3 linked regions of the Styela clava genome follow. The protein of the gene in region 2 purifies or fractionates together with the protein of the main gene of each other region. This does not show direct contact. Links are inferred from orthologs where the notes say so. Each region holds a gene or a part of one and is shown on either strand. Other genes may lie near its edges. The genes, in order: bifunctional polynucleotide phosphatase/kinase-like, DNA ligase 3-like and aprataxin-like.

What was found.
Region 1: the proteins of DNA ligase 3-like (region 2) and bifunctional polynucleotide phosphatase/kinase-like purify together in Homo sapiens (co-immunoprecipitation; 5 studies listed by BioGRID and IntAct, with this or other methods). This does not show direct contact. The link is inferred for Styela clava from reciprocal best matches to the Homo sapiens genes LIG3 and PNKP.
Region 3: the proteins of DNA ligase 3-like (region 2) and aprataxin-like purify together in Homo sapiens (affinity purification with mass spectrometry; 3 studies listed by BioGRID and IntAct, with this or other methods). This does not show direct contact. The link is inferred for Styela clava from reciprocal best matches to the Homo sapiens genes LIG3 and APTX.

The regions. Positions count from the first base shown.
Region 1 is NC_135258.1:17,042,291-17,050,684, forward strand, and holds the start of bifunctional polynucleotide phosphatase/kinase-like, read left to right. Parts: upstream 1-5,334; 5' UTR 5,335-5,535; intron 5,536-7,215; 5' UTR 7,216-7,236; coding exon 7,237-8,394. Other genes in the region: DNA-directed RNA polymerase II subunit RPB9-like, read right to left, coding at 2,805-2,922, 3,594-3,742, 4,288-4,342, 5,028-5,089. UniProt on the Homo sapiens protein: Plays a key role in the repair of DNA damage, functioning as part of both the non-homologous end-joining (NHEJ) and base excision repair (BER) pathways.
Region 2 is NC_135256.1:5,969,930-5,977,963, forward strand, and holds the start of DNA ligase 3-like, read left to right. Parts: upstream 1-4,705; 5' UTR 4,706-4,783; intron 4,784-5,494; 5' UTR 5,495-5,540; coding exon 5,541-5,557; intron 5,558-6,308; coding exon 6,309-6,465; intron 6,466-7,272; coding exon 7,273-7,384; intron 7,385-7,922; coding exon 7,923-8,033; intron 8,034-8,034. UniProt on the Homo sapiens protein: Isoform 3 functions as a heterodimer with DNA-repair protein XRCC1 in the nucleus and can correct defective DNA strand-break repair and sister chromatid exchange following treatment with ionizing radiation and alkylating agents.
Region 3 is NC_135264.1:11,771,264-11,779,310, reverse strand, and holds the start of aprataxin-like, read left to right. Parts: upstream 1-4,934; coding exon 4,935-5,263; intron 5,264-5,725; coding exon 5,726-5,880; intron 5,881-6,307; coding exon 6,308-6,564; intron 6,565-6,570; exon of another isoform or gene 6,571-7,226; coding exon of another isoform or gene 7,227-7,336; intron 7,337-7,567; coding exon of another isoform or gene 7,568-7,830; intron 7,831-8,047. Other genes in the region: serine/threonine-protein kinase RIO1-like, read right to left, coding at 198-333, 869-993, 1,579-1,730, 2,906-2,969; small ribosomal subunit protein uS12-like, read left to right, coding at 3,817-4,368; uncharacterized protein LOC120333828, read right to left, coding at 7,227-7,336, 7,568-7,830. UniProt on the Homo sapiens protein: DNA-binding protein involved in single-strand DNA break repair, double-strand DNA break repair and base excision repair.

The sequences.
Region 1 (8,394 bases), on a different chromosome or scaffold from region 2:
TAGATTTACCATTCTACATATGGAGGCTTAAAATTTATCTGTTTAATATCAAGTGTAGCTTTTGGATTAGTATGCTTCATATCAATTAGTTGGGCCCTAAAAGCCATATTTAAGTAGTTTTGAACTTAAATTTTATTTATTAGGGGATATTACCAGAATATATAGATCATATCGATGCATTGAAATAGGTTGAGTGTCAGTACCTACGTATAGTTCACTTTTTTTTTAGCTTCCAATCAGATGTATTTTGTTCACCGTGTTTAATCCACCACGACCCTCTGTGAAATAAGTCATTGTCATCTTTACCTTAGCTCCGTGTAGCAAAACAGTAATTATTTTTTGTTATTGTTAAGTTTCATGGTATTTCAAGCGAATTTTTCTGTTGTTTTTTTGCTTTCACATATAATCTACATTTTTTTTCCAATAAATACATTATTAATATAATACTGAATATAAAAGAATGTTAATACCAGACTTATTATATATTGCCTGTACTTTCAGAAATTCATCATTAGAAAATATGACACTTCATGAAAAACTGTATTGACCGTCTATAAATTAGCGGCAAGGGAAGCATTCATGCGGCTGGGAAATACCACAATAGATTTCAGACTCTGGGTTAAAACAATTTTGACTTCGACTCCCCAGTTTGTAAAAGTTTGACTAGAATAATAAAAACTTTTGTGCATGCATGGCTTCTGTCATAGCCTGATTGTTGAAAAGGCTTAGTAAACTTTTTGTGTTTCCATAGGGAGTAAAATTTAAAATTGACCTTTATTACTAACCCAATAGTTTTCACTGCTCTATATAGATAATAAAAAATTATCCTTCAGGCTGAATTTAAATTACTAACAAATTTTTCGTGCTTTATGGGATGATTCTTGAAGTTTTATTAAGTATATGATGAATTTCTGGATTGTATTAAAATTTTCATGTAAATGAGGTGAAGTATTCCACTTATAATTAAAAAATTGAATGACTTTTTTTCTTGCTATTATATCAGTTTCTATGGCCTATTCCAATACCTTACATTGCTTTTAAGAATAAACATTCCCTCTTAACTGAAATTTATGCTTGTTTTGCTTAAAAAATTGGTTGTTCTTAGTCTAGTTGTGTTGAATTAGCTAGATGTCGATATGTTCAATGATTCTCATAATCACTTATTCAATCCTGTGTTGATTTTTTTGTTGCTTTAATAACCCATATCTAATTACTAATACAACAGGGTAAAGCTATGATTATTTTAACATCTCGTACTAAATAATTTTAATACAAAGATGGTTCATATTTTCGGTTTCCATCTGATTTATCTGTAGTTAAATTGAAACCATGTATGCTAATATTATTTGCTTGCAACTGTTACATTCTTTTTGATTTTGATGCGTTAACTGTCGCTAAAACTACCATTAGATTTCATTGCTGAAAATATTTCAATAAAAACTGAAAAGGGCAATAAGTTTGTGCAATTGTATGGATCGTGCAGGTTCGGTAGTATGGCAAATTACAGTGATCCTGTAACCAATCAGTGTCCGTAAATAGTTAACCAGCTTCTTGTGTCAAATGCATGGAGTTGATGGCAGGAGAAGCTGTGAGCTCACACATATTTATTCCTATGGGATTCGAACCCACTCAAGGTAGTCAGAGGTGTGGTGTGTGGTGACATGCATATTCCTAAGCTTCGCACAATGCGATAGCCTGACTATACTTTCTGCAACATTATTAGTTCTTGGATGTGTAAGTGAATGCAAAAATTCTAGAATACACCCTCACAGATAAAAGCAGTGCATGGCAACTTCAGGAACACGGAGATGTCACAAGAAGATTGTGACCCATGCGCTTTGTATGCTAAGATTGAAAAAATAGTCAAATGAGAACATGTTCTTGTGGTCCAGGATAACATAACAGAACAAATTAAGGGCAACTCTTGACCTATCATAGTTTATTTGGCCCGTTTGAGCCAGTTGAAAAGGGTATTCGGCGCTTTCACACGAATCTCCATTATCCTCCAATTTTGAGTGCACTTTGAATGTGAAGCATTGTTTATGTTAGGGACTATTTGTACACAATTGACTGGTTTTTATAAGGGGTCCCAACACTTTCGGTGTGAACAGTCGGTTTCAAGTCACAGTTCTAGAGAATCATGCACCAGAGGAACAGGTTTGGGCTTGAATCTTTAACAATTAATGCCATGCTCATCCCGCTATATATTTCAAATCAACTATTTTGGCTAGAATGTACACAACTCTACCGCATTTGTTTTCTCATCTGTTCTGGCATCACATGCCCGCCCAATCATTTAATAGAAAAAGTTTATTCATTGTATTTTTGAAATTTAAAGACGAATTTTACCTTTGTAGCAAACGGGTTCTACTACAAGTATTCACAATAACATGCATAATGAAAGTCTTTATAACTTATAGATTTCGTTCAATGGAGCAGTTATATGGTTGAATCATCGTTCATCAACATTGCGTACCTATTTGATATGGGATTCCTAGCATATATTTCCTAAAAATTTGGTGAAACATACCATAATAAATGTCAATATACAAGAGCTTATAGGTGTAGAGCTTGCAACAAAGATTTGGTTTGTTAATGAAAAAAGCTGGTAAAAATAGTAACACAAAATCTTTAGCAACAAGCACACAACCCTGTCCGATTCCATAGGCTTTGTCAGTTCTTATTAGTGAGAGGTCCTCATGGATTCATGTTGGTCGTTTTGATGACCAAAAGATGTTTCATTCACCTTGTGCATGTATCGATGTATGATTGCATTCAAGTATTGCACAATTTGATGGAATAGATTACAATTGAGTCCATCGATGACCACATTGTGGGTTTGTGCAAACAAAATAAAGTCTCATGCCTTCCTCTGCTCTTGTTGATTGAGATTGGAAGAATACAGCTTCTTTATGCTGACATCTGAAAAATATAAAATGGAAAAGGATAGAAGCAAAGTGAAAGAATAATCAGGTCTCTCATCAACTTTAGTTGCCTAGCCATAACTATCACAAGAGTATTATCTTTCTACTGTTTTTTTCTTCTGATGACAACTTTAGACCATAAACTTGAACCTAATAAAGCATTATCCGCTTACAAACAAATTTGTATAAATATTTTTTTGTGAGCTGGTTCGAAACTAAAATCTTTCACGGCTTACAAAACACCACAAATCTTCTGCAATTAAATTTGGTCTTGACTCATTTATTTAGCAATGATAGCTTCGAGCTTGTTTTGATACAAGCAGATGCTCCCTCCCACATTTTAATACCACAAGCATTGGAAAATCAGACAATTGAATTTCTTTTCCATAAAACACCTGGCAGAAAATAGGTTGGTAGGCAGTAACAAACTGTGATACAGAATTATTGTTAGATTGTACAACTTATCGCATCTACGTATAGATACGTACCATTTCTGCATATCTGATAATAAATCCTAATTATTAGATGAACAGCAGATCTGCAAGATATGCTATGACATTCATAAAGATGTATAAAAGCCTACCTTATGATCGATGGATCTAATCCAATCAAAAACACGGTAATTATAAGAAAAAAAATTTGAAATATACATTGTAACTATAAACTAACTTGGGACATGAATGATCCTTTGTTCGTGGCAAAGTTGGATCTTGTGCTACATCAGCAATGATTTGTGTTAATTCATCAACTTCATGGACAATCTTATTTACATAAATACATGCATTGTCAGCTTCCATTTGAAAGTCACAGTTACGACACTGAAAGAGAACATAAGGCTCAGTTAAATATAAAACTTGAACTAAACTTCTTCAAAAATCATTAACAACTGATATGATTTCTTGATTTTGTGGGATATTAAACAAACAATTTCAGGTGCACATTGTAAAACCAGAATGTTTACTCAGTGATTCCCAACCCCAGGACCGTGGACTCGTACATAAAAGCCTTGTTGAGCCTTGAACCTTGTCGAGGTTGCGAAGATATCAGGAAAAAAAAGCAATAAGCACAAAGCTTAGGGGTTTGAAAAAACATTAACTTCTAAATGGTATTTATCGTATGTAATAATCTCAAATAATAAACAAACTTGGTAAAATCAACGTTTGTATAATTTTCATGTCTTGAGTCGGCTGCGATTCATTTCATTTCAAAAATGGTTCATGCCCAAAAAAGTTTGGGAATGTGCAAGTGCAACTTCATCTACTGGGTTAAATAATAATATTCATTTCAAGTAAGGAGTACACGGACATAGGTAGTTCGAAAAGAATTATCCTATATCTATATTCTATTCATTAGCTTATCTCACTGAGTAGAGTAGAATTCTGTTCTGCTTGTCTTCTTTTGGATAGAGCATGTTGTTGCTAAAAAGTTGTAATATTAATTTAGTAACAATTTAATGAGACGCACTAATATATGTCTGTATTCATCATTTGAAAAGCATAGAATTATATCTCCTGATCTCAGAAATTGCAAATGACAAAGCCAACCACCGTCAGATGTGGTTCATTTGAGTGTATTTGCATATGTCTGTATGTAAAAATTTTTTATCCACTTCAAAGCAGGTGGCGTATCAAAACGAATTTTGCATATAGTATTCCTAATCCCCACCTGAATATGCCATCCAAAAATTACGTCATTAGGAAGTCATCATCAGAGCTTGCCAAAGCATAACTACGATCGCCCGAAATGGCATCTGCGCCTCAGATAACAAACTTGCTAGCGCCGACGAACTCTCTCATATCGTGATCATTGCGACGAGAAAAATGGATTGCTCGATTTCGAGTGATTGTCTGCACGTTTTGGACGACCATCCTCATACTTTGGTGGGCCTTATTACGCCACTGTGAATTCGCAAGGACGTGATTTTCTGGTGACGTAGTCAGGTGGGGGTTAGAAATGACATATGCAAAAATTGTTGAGCCAGGCCAACTAGAAGTGCATGTAGTACTAAACTATTCCAGACCCAATATGCCAACGCTTACACACAACCCAACTAACAGACTAAACTGTAGGAACTGGGAAAAGATTTAGACATTGTAAACTCACCATTCTTGACAAAATTTGATTCCAACAAAACCAGGTCCTTTTTGGTTAACGTGCTCTTGCATTTTGATGACGAGCTGCACAATTATGCTCCAGAAATACAGAAATATGATTTGTAGCGAACAGACAATGAACACACAAGACAGGCGGACAAAACCGAACAATATGTAAATTGTGAGGCGCTAAAGAGCAGTACCGGCACATCATACACAGTAGGGGAATTCCCGTTGTCAACGGAATTGACCTATGTCGTTATGATTTACCGGGAAAAGATTCGCATTTATTACTAGTACAGTATAAGTTTATTTCGACTCCAAAATCAGCACGACAGAATGAGATTTGTAATATTTTTTTTTTTACATTGTTACTCGAACACCTTACGAAAGATGGCGCAATGATCATTGTGATGTCCGGACGTTGACATTTCAGCATTTGCTGATTCAGGTGCTGGCCGGTTAGAGAAAATTTCATACTGGATTGTCAACATTGGATTTCATATGTATATTTAATGGTTTGTATAACTGTTTTATTTTTTCTATAAATAATTCGCACTCAATAGGGTTGTTAAACGTGTCATCGCCTTTCCTCGGGGCTCCCTAAAACAGTAATATTTTTTTAGACACCATTGTGGGCACTATGATTTTTTTTTCAGTAGTTTATTAAGATTTCGGTCTCTTGAATAAACATGTGCATTTCTATATCGCATGGAACAATAATATATGGTTGTATAAGTAGGATCAAACTTCCCAACTTTATGAGGCAGACTATAATCAATTTGCCAATGGTAAAATATGGCAACCCTGAGCAGAAAATCAAGCACTCTTGAAATTTCAGGCACTTTGAAAAAACATAATTTCCATCATTTCTGCTTTCTTTATTTTTGATTTTTCTGCTTTAAAGTAATCATTAACATTAGGACATATCTAGGTATTTACAAAGTGCCTGAAGTTTCACGAGTGCCTCTTTTTGTATTGAGTGTTGCCATATTTTACTATTGAAAAATTAATTATACCTTATTAAATTGAAAAATTGCATTTTTTTAATGTACAATTTCATTCAAGGTCTAATAAAACTTAACCCCAATGAACTACGAAAAAAAAAAGAAAAAAAAAATTAATGTGCCTGAAAAAGTGCCTGAACTCTTATGTTTATAAAAAGGAATTGAATTTTTTGAGGGCTCGTTAACCCTTTCAATGCGATTTTTATTTTTTATTAAATAATCGTATTTGCTACGCTGATTTTATGCATTTGTACCCCCACAACTAATCGATCGACTAATGAAAAACTAATGATCCTCTGCTGCCCACTGACGACTCGTTAGAAAGCTTATTTAAAGAGCTTGCAGTTGGCGATTAAAAAAAAAAGTTTTTTAAAATGTGGTGGTCTGAGTCACAAACCGGATAGAAAAAGGGCATTTTTTTTTCTTGGGAGTTGAAACTTCAAACCGTGATAAAAAAATAGAAATATTAGCTAAACCCTTTACTGTTACCGCTTCGTGGTTGGCAAACAATAGCATAATATTGCTGTAGCAATTTCGTGATCTAACTCAAAATCCTTTGGTAGATGGAAGGGATAATATGTCTTCTATTACCACCCAAAAAACACAGAAATTTGCATAAATTTCAAAATCACTCCCTCGTTCCGCCGCAAATAAAATTCCCGTTGTAAACAAAAGCGAGATTTATCGTCGCTTATGTTAATCTCGAAGAAGACTTCTTATCAATAAACTAAAACCCGGATAAACTAGACCAACAATTTGCGACCGATTGCTAAATAAAACTATGGGTAACTTGAAGTACCCGCCGTGATCTAGCGAGTTTTGTCGTTGGTACGTATACGTGCCCACCGCCTGGAAAGGGTTAACAGGCTTAAATTTAAAAAATATTTTTTCACTACAATAATAATGACATAATATGTTTCAATTGAGCTCTTGATGGAATGCAATAATACGAGTTAAACATAAAAAAAACATAACTTTTGTTGACCTTATAGGCTATGAACAAATAATTGTAATTGATTGCGTGCCTCATCCTAATAAGAATTTTCTTTAGGGGTCGGTCGATCTTGTTAACCTTGCAGTCTTACCCGCCCCTTTGCGATTATATTTCATGATTACTGTTTATTCTTTTTACTGCAATGTGTACATTGATGATAAATTCGGAAATAAATTATTATCACTCTCTCATTATAGGGTCATAGATAATTCTGTATAATGCTTCAATTGAGGTGCTGTAATGATAGACACGAACCTATTCCATTACCAAATGGTGTTCCTGTCATACTAGGAAGAAGTCCACAAACTAAAATCATTGAGAAAATTTGTTCAAGAAAGCAAGTTGAATTAACAGCAAACTATGAAAAAGAAAGCGTCACTTTGAAACATCTTGGAACTAACCCGTCTATGATTGGTCAACAAGAGATTGCAAAAGGACACGAGAAGAAGTTAAAAGTTGGTGATATTTTCTATTTTGTTGTTCAACAATATCCACATGAAATTATTAAAACGCAAAAAACAACAGCTGAAAAACGAACAATCGACTCATATTTTGGGCCTAGTTCTTCAGAATCCAAAACGGAAACACCAATACCAAAAAAAGCCAAAATGGTAAATGAAGATGAGGTATCGGATGATCAGAGTGATGATGAAAATAAAGTTGCGGAAAAGCTCAAATTTTTACAAAGCAAAAGTCTATCCATTGTGAAAACAGAAAAATCAAAAGATGGTGGTAGAGAGAAAAATGTATTTAGAGGATGGATAAAATCTGACTATCCAGTTGGTTGGGAAGAAAAAGAAGGCTTATTAATTTATCATTCTCCGCAGTTGTATAATTCATCAAAAATAGCAGCATTTGATATGGATGGTACAATAATAACAACAGCATCGGGTAGGACATTTGCAAAAGATCATAATGATTGGAAGATACTTTACGCCGAAGTACCAGGAAAATTGAAAAAGCTTCAAAATGACCAATATAAAATAGTGATAATAACCAACCAACTGGGGATTGGGAAAGGTAAACTTCAACCAAAGGATTTCAAAACCAAAGTCGAAAACATTTTGGGAAAGCTTGGTATTAAAGCTCAGGTGATAGCAATTACGAAAAAGGGTCCGTCTCGAAAACCTAACATTGGAACATGGACTTGGCTGGCAAAACAAGGTAATGGGGGAATACCGATTGATATGTCTCATAGTTATTATGTCGGAGATGCAGCTGGCCGCCCAAAAGATTGGGCTCCAAAAAAGAAAAAAGATTTTTCGTGTACTGATAGATTATTTGCTATGAATTTGGAAATTGATTTCAAAACTCCCGAGGAATATTTTCTTTCACAAAAGCCTGTTAAATTCAACATGCCTGAATTTGATCCAAAA
Region 2 (8,034 bases):
CACAGACAATTCCCGAACTTTTAATAGAACAAAAATAAGGAGAATCGTAACCTAACCTGGTACACATACTACGAGTACCGAAAAAACAGCCCACATAGTAAAAGCAGTTATGGAAATACTTTACATTACAGAAAAATTAATTCACATAGTAAATAGCAGACGAAGGAAATATTTTGCATTGCAGAAAAAATAGCTCACATAGTTAATAGCAGTCATGAAATATTTCTCACTATTGATTACAAAAGTATAATTGCATCCGAATCAACAGTATCTATACGACTATATAAAGAATCGTTAAAATTAAATAATATGCAAGAATCATATTGATAACAAAATGTATTCTGATCAATTTTAATATAACTAAAACAAAATCCTCATAAATATTTTTAGTAAATTCACAATACATGAAAATATGTGAAACAAACTCAGGTTCTCCATTACATAATACACACATTTCATTCCCTGCTTTTCTTCCAATTTCTGGCTTTTGTTTTCAATGGCAAGATATCCCAGAGTAATTTATAGTTAAAATCAGTATTTTTAATAAGTAAACGAATAGCTCACAGAACCATGTGATTCATATGGAGCACAGAGCTATGATTGAGAGAGGCCGTGGTTCGCCATATATTTAGGCCTTCTTTTCGGCTTTCCTCTCCCCTTGGATAAATATGTAATTCCCATGTTATATCAATTAATAAATACATAAATAACCGCACTCCTCTCGGCGACTGGTTCATATTCTGTTCTGTAGATACGTTTCCTGTCTAATAGATATGCATTCCCAATATGCTCATAGTTGTATGCTTTCAGCGTACCATACTTCGAAACCCAAAATCAAATATGTATTGAAGAATTAAAGACCTCAAGTCAAGTTAATACGGCCAATTTCGCACCCGACTGAGCTGAAGCAAGGGATTTTGGCAGCGAGCAATGCGTTTTCTTAATATGCAACGAACCATTTAGCTGGACGACGTAAAAATGCAGGGAACAATGCCACAATGAGCAAATCTTTGCAAGTTTCCACTCATTGTATATATGCTCATTGCTTATAGTAAAATCATTTCTAAAATTCAGGGTAGGTCTTAATTTCCGGGAAACACGATAGTGGACCCATGGATCGTTTTGTTTTGTTAAAAATTTCCCTCTTATCGTTATTACCAAATGATTTAAAATTTCATTGGGTAAAGATTATATTTTTCGCTAGAAGGCTATTACTTTTATTTGGTCCTAAATCTGATATTTCATCTAAAATGTATTGCATAATTTTTAATTCCGGGAACACGTTTTTAGGACATCGTGATGGCTGTCTTCCACGTTTTTATGACATCGCAACCAGTAGTCTACTGTGTCACAGAACTTGAAATATATAAGATAAGATTTTATTTCGATTCATTCGATAAAACAAAATAAACATATATACACAAAAGATTAAGACGAATAATCTGGAAAGTGAACAAAACCCAATAAAATAAGTTTAAAACGTATAAAACGCGTTCACTTACTAAAGAAGAAAGAAAACAAGTCATAAACACAAACAAATAAACATGAATATTGACGGCGGTCATTACCCACGCGTGTCACTTGGTAATCAGGTTGCGTGGAATTTTTTCAAAAAACAAAACATTGAATTAAATATCCGCTGTGCGTGGGATGCGGCATGTAAACAAACAACCCGAAAAATCCTAGAATGAGGTGCGAATGCATGTTTCCGTTCCATGCTTAAACATATATCTAGTAAAATCCACTAAAACGTTAACATACCGATGTAAAAATTGAATGTAAATTTTCAAATATCAGTTCGTGCAGTTTAACTTTTGTATATCCGGTCTAGGGATGCCACTTTCGGATTTACGAATCGGATCGATTCGAATCGCATCTTTTCCGAATCGATTCGAATCAGATTTACGCGATTCGGAAAAAGAGAGCGATTTAGCGAAAAAAAAACATTGAACGTTTGTTAAATCGTCGTTTTCGGCGGCTTTAAATCTGCCAGAGTGTGTTTATGCGGCGCTCCAAATAACGCCAAATTACGGGACCGAAAAAAAAACATTGAACGTGTGTTAATCGTTGTTTTCGGCGGTGTTAAAACTACCGAATGCGTTTATGCAGCACTCCAAATACCACCAAATTACGGGACCGAAAGAATAACATTGAATATTTGTTAATCGTTGTTTTCGGTGGCGTTTAAACTGCCGAATGCGTTTATGCGGCACTCCAAATAGCAACAAATTACGGGACGTAAATAAATGAAAATGAATTTTTCGTGATTGACTTTTTTACTTGTCTGCCGTCATTTGTTTCAAGTTCGACACAACACACTCTTTTACGCATCACTCGAGATGATGTGTGGCGTAATTACCAGCAAACTGCGAGTTCAGTTTTCCACTAAATAGCCGAAGTTCCCATTATGCGCGAATTCAAATGGATCGTATACCTGGAAATTCGTGACAATTTTGATGAAAATTTTCAACAGCACACCTGCGCTGCCACTAAGTTATTGTACGCCCTGGCATGATTGGATAAAGAATCGGCTACCGACGTCTAGATAATGTTTAATTTTGATTGAAATTTAATTTAAACTTTGTTCTGAGAGCAATATTTCGCGTACATTTGAAGAGAACTATTGCTGAATGAGTTCATCGGCCGGCAATGTTAATTTACAATCATGTATCTCATCCTAAAATATATTTTTATTTTGTTTGCGTTTGTCAGGCTTCCACTCGAGTGGCGGTAAACGAAATCAGGGGGACATAATGTAATAGTACATACACGTCTTTTTCCAGCTGTTACCAAAAAAAAATAGTATTTACTTTTAATTTTGTTAGCGCGATACAAGCGGATAAAACATTTCGGATTATTTCGAGCAAATGTCATAACGGACAGGTGGGAGTAAATAATACTTGAGGAATGGCAACTTGTGCACTGTTTTACATCAACACGTGGCAGATTTCATACCAGACCGAGCATACGGTGCGAATGTCGTCTTACTTTAGCCCCAGCGACCATGTTTGATCGAGATAAAGCGTCAACCAATTATCGCTCGTCAGCGCGGCGTCCATTATGCACATTTGGACTTTCTGAATTACGAAATTAAACGTAGTCCACATTAATAATGAAGCCCGAGTTAGCCAATAACGCTGTTTGCCACAAATAATACTGTCTCTAATATTTATGGAAATTTTTGTTCGCAATCGTAGTCGGATGAACGATTGTTTTTATCGAAATTAATTTAATTTAATCGTGGTTAATTTTATCGTCTTCAATCATATTCTTGTAAGCATTTCCCATTTATAGTAATTCAGATGCAATTAGAATGTTTTTGTCGTATTACTCTATGCTGCTAGCATAAATATAAAATATTGTACTAAGATTTTGAAGATAAAGAATCGGTAATAAGGCCGTCCCTGATTCAATATAACAAGAAGGGAAATACCACGGTCACATATACTGGTGTGGGACAAGGGAAAGCAGTGATGTTACTGTGTTTACGACATAACAGTACAACTGTTCCCTGCTTATTTTCTTATATGAATTCCATCAAATTGCCTCAGCCCTGATACAAGTATAACACAATAACTCAGTATTGTAAGACTCACAGATAAGTTGCAACAGCAAGTTTTTCATCAATGCATTTATTAGTGATATCTATGACCTACATCTTTTTATCATGATGAAAATAAGTGTGGCTTGTTCACTGAAAAACCCTCATCACCCTTGCTATATAGCCTATTCCATTTTCAAATTTTTTTCTTCTAGATTTGAGCTTTTTTGTGAGTTTGGCCAAACATACGCATGTAATAAAAAAAAAAAAGCTTAATGGAATCAGATTCGGAAAGATTCGATTCGAAAAGTTTTGATTCGAGATTCGATTCGAAAAAAAATGTATCCAGAAGTGGCAACCCTAATCCGGTCACATATTTGAGCAGAGCATAATTTCGTCCGAACTTATTTTCATAATATATTTAAAAATCTTCCATTTTGCACCCATGTTGCACATTTTTTCAGTCCATCATTCAAAAATCTGCTATTTCTGTTATTTGTTTATTGATGTCACTTAGTCTGAGATTCACTTCTCGAATGCATATCTTCGGCTCGAGGTAGCCACGTCCGCATGCGACGGCGGTCGGTACCAAAGTGAATATATATATATTCAACTACAGTGACCTCACATTTCTAAGCCAAAAGCCTCTAGTGCTCCACACGCCCTCGTGTTTATTCCTTCTATAATTTGGACTTATTTTAATCAATTTAAATAATTTACCGTTTTCCCAGGGTATTATTTCAATTTTCTTCGGGGAAATAACACGAGATTTTCGGATAAACAAATTATTAAAACCGATATCCATTTACTTATAAATACCACGCTTTTTTCTCTCATGCGGTTTAGATTATTCTTTTAAATTTTAAAACGTGTAGGAGAGATTTCTTGCTTATTGACGAGGCCAAAATAAAATTCCGCTATCGACTAGGTCCTATTGTAAGGAAAAGCTTACATAGAGGTCATTTTTAAAATCCAGGCTAGGTCTTATTTTTTGGGAAGCACGGTAGTATTCATTTCAAAATGAATCCAAGACCGAGTCATCAGCCATATTTCAACAAGTAGATGTAAGGAAGGCATAGTACACTTTGGTGGCGCAACATCGTGGCGCAATATTTTCGGCGTCACGTGTTCAAAACAAACCAACAAACGCAAACGTATAAAAGCCATTGACCTCAATGATGATAGCTGATTCGCTTCTTCCAGTTTTCAGCGTTGCTGTTTAGTCAATGCGTGCATTCAAAGGTAGGTGGCGTTGCTTTGTAAATTGCTAGTTTGCAATGCTGCAACACTTTAATACACTTTATCTCCTGATCTTATACACTTCCACACTTGTCTATATCGTTTTATGAATCCCGTCTCACTCATCACACGCACAGCCGCTATTCACTACATTGTTTGTAAGTAATTTCATGTAATTTGATTATGAAGTTAGACGCCCGAATAATGACCAATCGTTTATGTTCATATTTGTTTGTTGTGATTTGGTTTCTTTCCTCCTCATTGAGTGAACTCGTCTAATACGTTATGAACTTATTTCAAGTTTTGTGGGCCTCATGCTGGTTTCTGACAGTTAAAAGATAAGGTAAATTTGCAAAAATAACTGAATGAGGGATGTTTTTGTATCTAAAGTAATGAGCTGATGCTACGTCCAAACGTGTGTACAGGCACAGCCAAATTTCTGCACAGACAAATTGCAGGATTTTGATTAAAAAATGACTTAATCTCTGTTATGGTACCGATAGTTGTAACCGGGTATCGGTAATAGCTAAGAAAAGTCCTTCGTCCAGATACCTATTCCTGATTTTACTATATTCAAATTTATTATTGGTACCGTAGTTCGCTATTTCAGAATTCTACATCTCAGTTAAAATTGACTTCGTGGACCAAAATTTCCATTCTGCGTTTTTATATCATATTGTTAATATTTTCAAATTTTCTATTTCCTGATTTCAGATCACATATTTGGCAAAGATTCAATTTTCTGACTGTTCCCAACATCATGTCTGATTCTACAAGGTAACTTTCAAATGCATTCATCTTACAGTCCTACTTTGTTGCGATTTATCGAGCCCGTTCACTCTGAATGTCGGTGCATTTGCAGGGCTATTTTGGCATAGTGTGCTAATTTTTGCCGTGGAGCACATATCTCATAGTGTTCATCTTATACCATTGTACCATTAAATCCTATTACTGTATTAAGCATCATTCTCCATACTAGTTCACCAACGAAAAATAAAACTAATAAATGTCTCTTTGGTGGGCTCGGTCTTTCTATATGAAAGTACAGAAATAGTTCTTGCTTGAACGGGCCACTTGGATGTTGGAAAAAATTGTCCACTAGCAGCTATTTGAACTAACTCAACGAACCCAGCAATTATCTGGGTCTCCAGAAGTCTGAGTATGTGCCCATAAGTGCTTAGAGGGGCTTTATTATGTGACGCAGTGATGTAATTTTCGATAGCATAGTCAGGTGGGGGTTAGGAATGACGTATTCAAAAATTGTTGAGCCAGGAGCCAGCCGAAGTACGCAAGTACTTCGAGAGACCCAATTATCCTACATGTAGTTACCCCCATCAACTCGCACAATTCAATTGTGATAACCCCTATAGTAATTAATGACAAATATGTACCTAATGCATAGCAAAATTGCCCAATGTGCCATAAGGTTTGCTATCAGTAAAGACTATTTTTCAGCGTTATTAATTCCCTGCACAGCAATTGATTATGTCAGTTTCAACTCTTCACCTATTCATAATATATTTAACAGATTCACATGTGATTATGCGAAACGAAAAGCGAATTGCAAAAAGTGCAAACAGCCAATAGACAAAGGAGTTGCCAGAATCGCCAAGGTTACTCCTAATTTTTTCAACGATGGGGACGGCGAAATGAAAATGTATCATCATATAAACTGCATGTTTGAGGTTTGTGATACATTAATGTCTTTTCTACTTCTATATAAATCATTGAACCGTGAGTAGTCGGAATCGTCTCATTTCACCTGGCATGTGCATATGCTGCTATTTATAGCATACTTGTTTTATGTTACGGTAGAAGACAAATAGTATTGAAGTGGAATCACCAGTTGGTTCATTACAATGTAATTTTTATGTTTTTAGTGCACTTTAAATTATTTATGTTATTAGTGTTTCAAGAATTAAGTTAAATTAATGAGAAGAAAAGCTATGACTCGAGTCATTATTTTTCTAAAACCATGAAATGACACGTTTATCTGCATTAGTTTCTACTCAAAGTTCATATCATTTGTAAGTAAACACATATACGACATTAATTTGACAATGAATTCTACGTTATACACTCAATCCAAGTAGTACTGGTACTTGATCAAACTTTCGTACCCATCCAAATTCAAAACACAGTCTATACCGGGCCTATTTAGCTCTTGAGTGCTGTGATTCAAATCATTTGGTCATTGAAACACTTTTGTTCATAAGCGCACTCATCTTGGTTATAATTTAATTCATACCCCCTGTGTCCTACATGTCAATATCTGATACTTATGACTTTTACTACCCTAGTTTCCACTTTTTTAATGTAGTCAATTCCCATTCCACAGAATATGCAACTGTCATCAAATATATGAATGTTTCAAACTCAATTTACGGAAACTTCAACATTGCTTTAATTTCAACTGAATAACTTGATATTCTTTTGTGTGAGCTTTGATACATATTTCACTATAGTCAAAAGTGTATTTTCCCATTGCTTAGGTATTCTCTCGAGCACGAGCAACCACCAAGAAAATTGAAGATCCGAGTGACTTGGAGGGTTTCGCAGACATGGAAGATGATGAGAAAAATCAAATAAAGAAATTGATTGCAGGTAATGACTGATAACAGAATTTTTGTTATATGGTCTTAAGATACGGAAATGTATTGGTACATGAATGTTATAAATCTGACATGGGCAAACCACGGCCTGCGGTTCAAATCAGGCTCTTCGGGTGATTTGGAAAAAAGGGGGAAATTTCTCCTCCGGAATAAAGCCGGACTGTGGAAAGTGACTTAGACCAATATATTTCTATCTCTCCCCCTTTGTGAGATGGGACCGAATCCGAAGAATTCTGGCACATTTATTTTTTAGAAAATTTTGTTTGGTTTATCATACCGAATCTATTACACTTTTAGTTAGGATGGTTGGCATGGGGATAGAATCAAAGATTTGTGTCGCATATGACGCCAACATACTAAGCATTTTAACCACACCATTATTTTCATTTACCTACTTCTCACAAGAATATTATCCCCACATAAACATATTGTGACTTTCAAGTCAACTCATATTTATCTGATATAACGATAATCACAAAACTTGGTCAACTGGTCCTTCACATGTAGCATTGTTTTATTCCAACCTACAGAATTATGTGCAAAACAAGCTGAAAAGCAGGCCAAGTCACCTCGTGGTGGAGGAAAGAAAGCAACACCGAAGAAACAAAAACCTGCTAAAGCACCTTCTCCAGTTAAAATGAG
Region 3 (8,047 bases), on a different chromosome or scaffold from region 2:
ATTTAAACAGGTAAAATTCACAGCTTGAAGCAAATGCCATATAAAATGTGCGTGCGTAAATTTACGTGCACCTCTCAAAATATTACAAAACTATAAAAATTCAGGAAATATATTATGAAACTACGAGAGCTAAAATCTTGCATTATGTTGAACGTCAAAAGAAAAATTCCATAATTAAATGTACATAAATTCATCACCTCTTTCCCAGTGCTTATTACACCATTGATCTGTTTAATGACGCCACGACTCAGCATTTTGAAAAGTATGATTCGAGTTCTTGGATCCATGACTTGTTCAATAGTTGCTCGATCCGATTTGTCTTTTACTCGATTTCTGAAAATTATTGGTTGCAGTAAATAAACTTGAAAATTGGTATTGGTGAAAATTGGTGATTCAACATAACATTTTGATATTGATTATCCAATATTTGCTAAAAGAAAAAAATCACATACACTGTTATTAAGAATCAAACCAAGTACCACATGACGCCTTACTTCCCAAAAACAATTTTTTTTATTACCTACCATGGCGCATAAAACAAATGATAGAAGCACATTAAATAAAGGTATTTTTATAGAAAAAAGGGCCACATTGTAGTCTTTGAAAGGGGGTCATGATTCATGAAAGCAAAGTTATGTTACAGCATCACCATGGTATTCAATAGTTTTCAACAAAACTCACTATTTCACTGAAAAATTAGTGAATTAATATTAATTAATAATATTAGTTAATAATATTAATTAATGGAATTCCTGAAAATTGATCATTTTGAAAGAACATTAAATTTAAATCTTCCAGGCACCTCCCAGTTCTTTGATTTAAAAGGAATAAGATATGAGAATGAGAGAAAGTTTTTGAATAAATTTACTTGTTTTCAACCATTCTTTTATCCATTTGTCGAACTTGTGCGAGATTATGTTGCGGAATACTAGGATGCTCATATGCATCAAGATGAATCTTGTCAGAAAATTTTGATAACATTTTATCCACAGGCTAAAAAACAACAAGAAGTTTATACTTTGCTGAGCACTCTATTTTATTTCAACTATTGGTTCTAAAGAGGGATGGCCAAAATTCGAAAATTCACTATCCTGAATACATTCTGATATAATATTTTCGAATTTGGAATATTGACGTTAATTGGGTCCTCTACTTTCGAAGTTAATGGATATTCAAATGAGTTTAAATTTGAAAATACAGAAGGGTTAAGATAAACAGTGATTTTAGTGGTTCTACGTTTTTTGTTGTAGAATTCAAAAAATTCAATGTCTTTTTGGTCATACTATAATATTTCAATTGCTCAAAATGATGGGTTTTCAGATAAAACTAACTAGGCCTATAATATTCCCAAAATAAAATTATTATTCTCTAAAAATAAAATTTTAAATATCATTTATTTCAAATTAATTGGAATATTCAATTCGACTTGGACATCGTCAGATTTAAACCAATATAGTTAGAGAAATAACTGAAATTAATAAGCCTGTCCCTCAGACATTCAGTGAATCGCCATTCAAATGATCTCTTCCTGAAGCTATACATGTGCTTGTGGCAAAATAATAAATGATCACATCCTACTTGATAAGATTGGTTGGAGGAATACTTGGCGCCGTTTCCTCTGCAATTTTCTGTATATATTTCATCCATTTCCATATAGTTATCATCACTCCAATTGTCATCATCATCTGCTATGTTTGTATTTGAATCGATACATCCTTCTTGAATAGGATCTTAAAATAAAGCATTACATAAATAGTTAATTGTATAAGAGACGCAATAAAATAATGGGCTTCATACATGGTGACACACCGATATGGTAATTTTCAAACGCGGTTAAAAGACACACATTGAAAATACACAAAAATCCAACAATCTCCAAAATGACATATCTTGACTGCTGATAGACAAACGACAAAATGTTGTTTATGAGAAAGTTCTATACATTACTCAACTGATCTACACAAGAATGATGTAGAGTCGGCTCAAATTGAAATAGTATGTCAAAGAGAGGATAGGATTTACATAATCATCCTGGATTAATCATATGGCAAACCACGGCCGCTCAGCCAGCTACAGGTCCATGTCAGGTAGGTATGGTATTAGTTAGCCAGTCATATTTGTTTCAGATGCATGGACAAAAACATAATGTAAAACAATGTTTTTCAAAGTGCAGTATTATTACTAGTATTATGACAAAAATTGATAAGACTATTCTAGCTATTGCTCATTTTAATTTGATTATAACACATTGTACTCTTGTATGTGAATCAACTTGCTGATTGAAATGTTAAAATTTCTGAATTTGGGGTAGATTACAAAACAGTCATTGAAGAATGTGAATGAAACAGCGAAGGAAAAAAAAACAATAATAGAGTACCGTAATAACAGAAAGATGATGATGAGTAAAAATAGAAATACTGAAATAATAATTGGCGCAGCGGTGTGGCTCAACGGGCTAAGCGTTAGGAATACGCTCGCCACCGCACCTCTAATTACTCTGCGTGGGTTCGCAGGTTCGAATCCCATGCAGGGATGGTTATGTGCGAGAGGATTGCTGGACTCCTCGCCGTCGTTGGGTGGTTCACGTAACCGCTGGTCGGTTACGGCTTCCTCCACCACCAAGTCCATGCTTCCGAAAAAAATAAAATAAAATACATTAAAACTAATCCCATACCCGACTTGGAATGCTAACCGGACGAGAGGCCGTGGTTCGCCATGTGGATAAGCCGTCTTATCGGCTTTCCTCTCCCCCGGGATAAATATGTAAATCCTATCCTATCCTAATAAAAGTTACAATGAAAAATATAGAAAAATTCACTTTACTAGCTTTACGTGATACCAGCGACTTAGATTATGATACTTATTTATTATTATGACTGAATGCAAAAAAGATGAATGAACTTACTAGTTTTTGTCATCATTTGCAAATATTCCTCCGCCTGGTCCAAATCATCAAACTGCCCCTCCATACCGTAATACTGTACTAAAGGGTTGGCCAACAACAACAAGGATTCTTTTCTAAAACAATTTGACGCTGCCTAACTGAATATCAGATGTGTAGAATGAAAACGATCAGAATACAATATAATAGCCTATATACAAATATTGAAATAGCCTGCTGCACCAGCGTTTTTCAGTCGCGTGTTTTCTTTTGCACATGTTGTGCAATATTTAATTCTCTGAAACACCAGACTTTTACTCATACGCAAGATGACAGTAAAGAATCGTGAATTACAAATCACGATTTTTGGTCACTGATGACAAGCGCGCAGTACGAAGTGAAATCTTTTCATCATTTGTTTGTCTCGTGCAGCTAATTTTTGGTTTGGTCTTGGAGGATGGTGTGAATATGTTTTGTTGATATTGATAGCATGATGTTTAAGTTTATTGTGTAATAAAGTATTTTTTGACAAATCGAGAAAGAGAGAGATTTATTTTTGTAGACCCGACACTCACTTGGCCTTGGGTACGTACCAGCTTACAGACTTCGGTTACCTACATCACATTCATACATCTGTACAACACCAAACATAGATATGTAAAAATTTTGTACATTTGGAGTAGGCTTATAACAGTATGTTGCACCACAAAGGTGAAAAAGTCTCTTGTTCAAAAGTGTTTCTGGGAGTTTCGCGCAGCTGCAAATTAAAAAAAAAAGAAATTGGGATCAATTACTATTTACGCAAAATCTATACCGTAGCTAGTCAGTGTTCATCATGCTTTCTCACTGCATCTGGAAACAAATGATTATATTTATTTCAAATAGTTTTCAAGTCTTAATTTACATGAAAATCTAACTTCTGAACTTGCCAACTTATGGCGTTCAAAAACTTGATCAGATTGAAAAATACATTGCTCACTGGATGTCTTCATCAAGTGAATAATACTTGCCTAACAAACACATACAATGGTTTACTGGTGAATCAAAGCCAAGCTGTATTAACCACCTTCTTAACTCAGCCTTCTAAGGACTTCCACTCATCTGCAATTGATTTCAAATGGGAAGGCAGATATCGAAACTTTTATCATGCTGATTTATACATGAAAACAGGAAAAATGTTGGACATAATAGCCAAGAAAAAGAAAAAATCAAGAATGGATGGAAAGCCACAAATAAAAGGCGTTGTTTTAAGACTTTTAATTAAAAAGCCGAAAAAACCAAACAGTGCGAATAGAAAATGTTGCAAAGTACGGTTAAGTACCGGAAAAGAAATCATTGCTTATATACCCGGCGAAGGACATAATTTACAAGAAAATAACGTTGTTCTCATCGAAGGAAAAGGACGTAAGGATTTAGTCGGAGTTCACCATAAAGTTATTAGAGGAGCACTTGATTGTGCTCATGTTGTTAAGAAAGAACAAGACTAATTTTTGCTATAAAATACTCGCAAATACTAAAGTATGACAGACAATTTGAAACAATTGAGCTCCTCACAAAATATGAAAATAAAAATTACCGTAGGATTATATGAGAGCGTTAGATAGCTTGGAATTTATATTTTGTGACAATAAATAATACTTAACAATGGCCTCAAAATGTTTGTAATGGTTTAAATTCTGACATATTTATGAATCTTTCATACTGTAGTAAAGAAATGTTTTACTTAAAAAAATCTCTCGTAAAAGAACAGCTAGCCTATTTAACTCTTAAGGATTTTGTCGTTCAACGTATGTGATGTTCCATTTTCACAAGGCTTTACTAGTCTTAAAGTATATGTTAATAAACTTCTAATGCCGCCAATGTTTTATTCAACTCACAAAGTTTTTTTGTGAGTTGAACAAACTTTGTCTAAATTTTTCAATATAAAGATTTAATAATATAAAACATAATTCCTGCCATTTCACACAAAATCTTTTCATATAGAGCCGTGCAAAAATTCATCACTTTTTCAATTGAATTTTACCGAATAACTTCCTTACCTAAGTTGTGATTGATGCTGTTTTGTTCTATCTATTCTATATGGTTCAAAATGCTCTTTACAATGTCAAAATCTAAAATACAAAGATATGAAATTTGTTGTTTTGAGATTTACTATTTGCAAATGCATTTCAAGTTGGAACTTCTTATTTTTTTTAATAGGAATTACCACATTGCTTTATCTCTATCTTTCTCAATGTATTTTCAATGTTGCAATTCAACACATGCTCCGATACTTCTACCAGACGGTTCGCCAGTCATCGTTGGGAGATCAGCAGAGACTAAAATACCTGATAAATTGTGTTCAAGAAATCAGTTGGAATTGGTTGCAAATTACAATCAAAAGTAGGTAGGAATGTGTTATATTTTTGCTGTTATAGATACTGATATATTTATGTTTTGTGAAATTATTATTGACGTTATTTGAATATACTTTCTTTTGTGTATAAAGAGACTTTTTTATTTGCCAATGTTTATGAAATCTGTATCAGGCCATACAGGTATTTTTGAGGTACCTATAGATTTATATTTGGAATATATGCTTATTTGAAAAATGGTCATTTAGACGGAAACATTTGATTCTAACTTGTTTCAAATATAGATTGTCCGCTATTGTGTTTTCTTGCCCTGTCAAATTGGTTTGTAAAAATATTTCTGTTGAAAATGTGTCAAGTATATGATCAATGTTTATTGAGACTTTATAAGACGTTTTTAAAATATGTTTAATTATTTAAAATGTTGTCTTGAAAACCACTTTTCTAGAGTGATTTTATTGGCATCACTAAATTTGTTATTTTTGAACATTAGATATGTTATGGTCAAGCAACTTGGCAGTAATGCATCTCAGATAGAAGGGATTGATATCGGACATAGAAAAACTGACAGACTTCATGCAGGACAAACGTTACACGTCGTTGATATGAAATATCCTCACAAGATTGCTATATGTATCCCTAATTCAGGTTTCATTTTCTATCATATAGTGAATTTATTATTATTAGAGAGAAATGCACTATTATAAGGACATGAAGGTTTTACCAGTAGCATACGTTGTTCAATAAACTAGATTGCTGAAAATATGGGGTGAGGATGGAATTTTTTTAAATTTAGAAAAATGTTGGGTAAAAGACAGTACCTTGATGAGCGCAAAAAAAGTGTTTACGCAAATAGTAGTAGAATTTTAAATAACTAACGCTGTTTAGGAAATCATAATATTCGATTAATGTAGGTTTTTGATATTGATTTATCCAGAGTTTACCGTGATAATGACGAAAAACAATTCTTGTCCCAAAAACAGTGACCTGTACTCATATCCCAATGTAAATTTATTTCTCCAATAATTTCAAAGAAACCACATCGAAACTCTTATGTTCTATAATATTTATTCAGGAACTACATCTTCCAATACCAAGAAAACAAAACTACCTCAGGAGGAAAACACATTCAGCAAACGACAAAAAATGACTGAAAAAGTAGCGAAAAATATTTCCGATGAAGAAAACGAAACAAATTCAAATAATAAAAATAATTCAGCACAAAAACCTTCCTATCATTGGAGTCAAGGTTTGAAAGGATCAATGGATGATCCTAGTTTGAGAGTTTCCAAAGATGATAAAGTTGTTGTCATCAAAGATAAATATCCAAAGGTATGTTGATGCTAATATTATATTGCGAACTAAAGTCTGAATTCATAATTTGCATATGGTAAAAATCCATTGCAGATTTCTATTCAATACTCTGTCACACTGTGTACAAAATACACAGGGTACTGGAGGCTGCTCCACAAAACTGAAAATTAGCATAAACGCAGAAAACACAGCTAATCTATGAAAAATTGATGAGAAATATATTACAACTTATATAAGCAAGAAAACTTTGTCTGTATACCAATTTTCAAAAGAATTTGCTCAAAGTGAAGTCTAACACACTCGCTCTCGAGATAAAAGTGAATCATCTTTCTGCTGAAACCCCCTCTGAATCATCTTCTCATCGTTGTTAGGAAATTTCCTTGCAGAAATTTTCAACCATGAATTATTTGAACTCTGACAAAATTTAACATATTAACCCAGTTGAATGAGGAGTTTTGAGAGGAATTTATGGGTGTGTTTTTGAGTGGTGGAATTTTACAGACACTCTCTCATCATAGCTCATATTGAAACTTATATATATAATTCGACTTATAATTAAAACATTGTCTCTAAACCAAGTTTAATCCTAAATATTCAATACATCATGACTTGATTTTGTGTCTATGATGTCATTTTCAGGTTTTCACTACTGTTTCATACATTTTCTAATATTTAATTAATCACAATGCTGTATCCATATCGTCATGGTAACTTGTATCATTACCCATTGATGCCGTGTCACTGACGTTTTTATATTGTGAGCTGCCCATTCTTTCGTTCTGCAAGGACCCTGAAATTCGAATGGTTTGTCAATTATACATTGCAATACAGAAGAATAAAAGAATAAATAAATGTTGATATATAAGTTTCCAACCTTTTTTTTCAAGCGACCCAAATTTTCAAAAAAATAGATTTAGTAAAATCTCGCGACTCAAGTATAATATGTTCAAATACAGACAGACTAGTATTTATATGTTTAATTTTTGTATCTTTTATTAACATTTTTATTGTATATACTCACCTATTTCTAATTCTATTCCAATTTGATCAATATTGTCTGAGTCAAAAACTGATCCACATTCACTGGAAGCATTCGATGTATTCTTTTCATTAGCAATATTTTCCAAAATGTTTTCATCTTCATTGGGACTTCTGTTTGTATTTGGAAAACCATCTTCGCAATCTTCTGTGCTTTTGTTCTCTTGGTTCAGAGGAGACATTTCTTGCATTTCAACATCTTCCGTCTCTTTTGTGATTTCTGATTCAAGCCTGCTTCCTCTTTTTCTGTATAAATAATAAATGAGATGCATAATGGCTATATTCACATGAAAATTTTAGTATCTAGAACAGACATGTGCAGATTACGACTCGCGGGTCAAATCCGGCCAACTGGGTAATTCAATCTGGCCCGCCTGATGCTGCCACAACTTAACTGGAACCAAATTTTGATGATTTAGTTAAAAATAGGTCAAGGGATTTGTTAAGATTGCGGATAAATTTT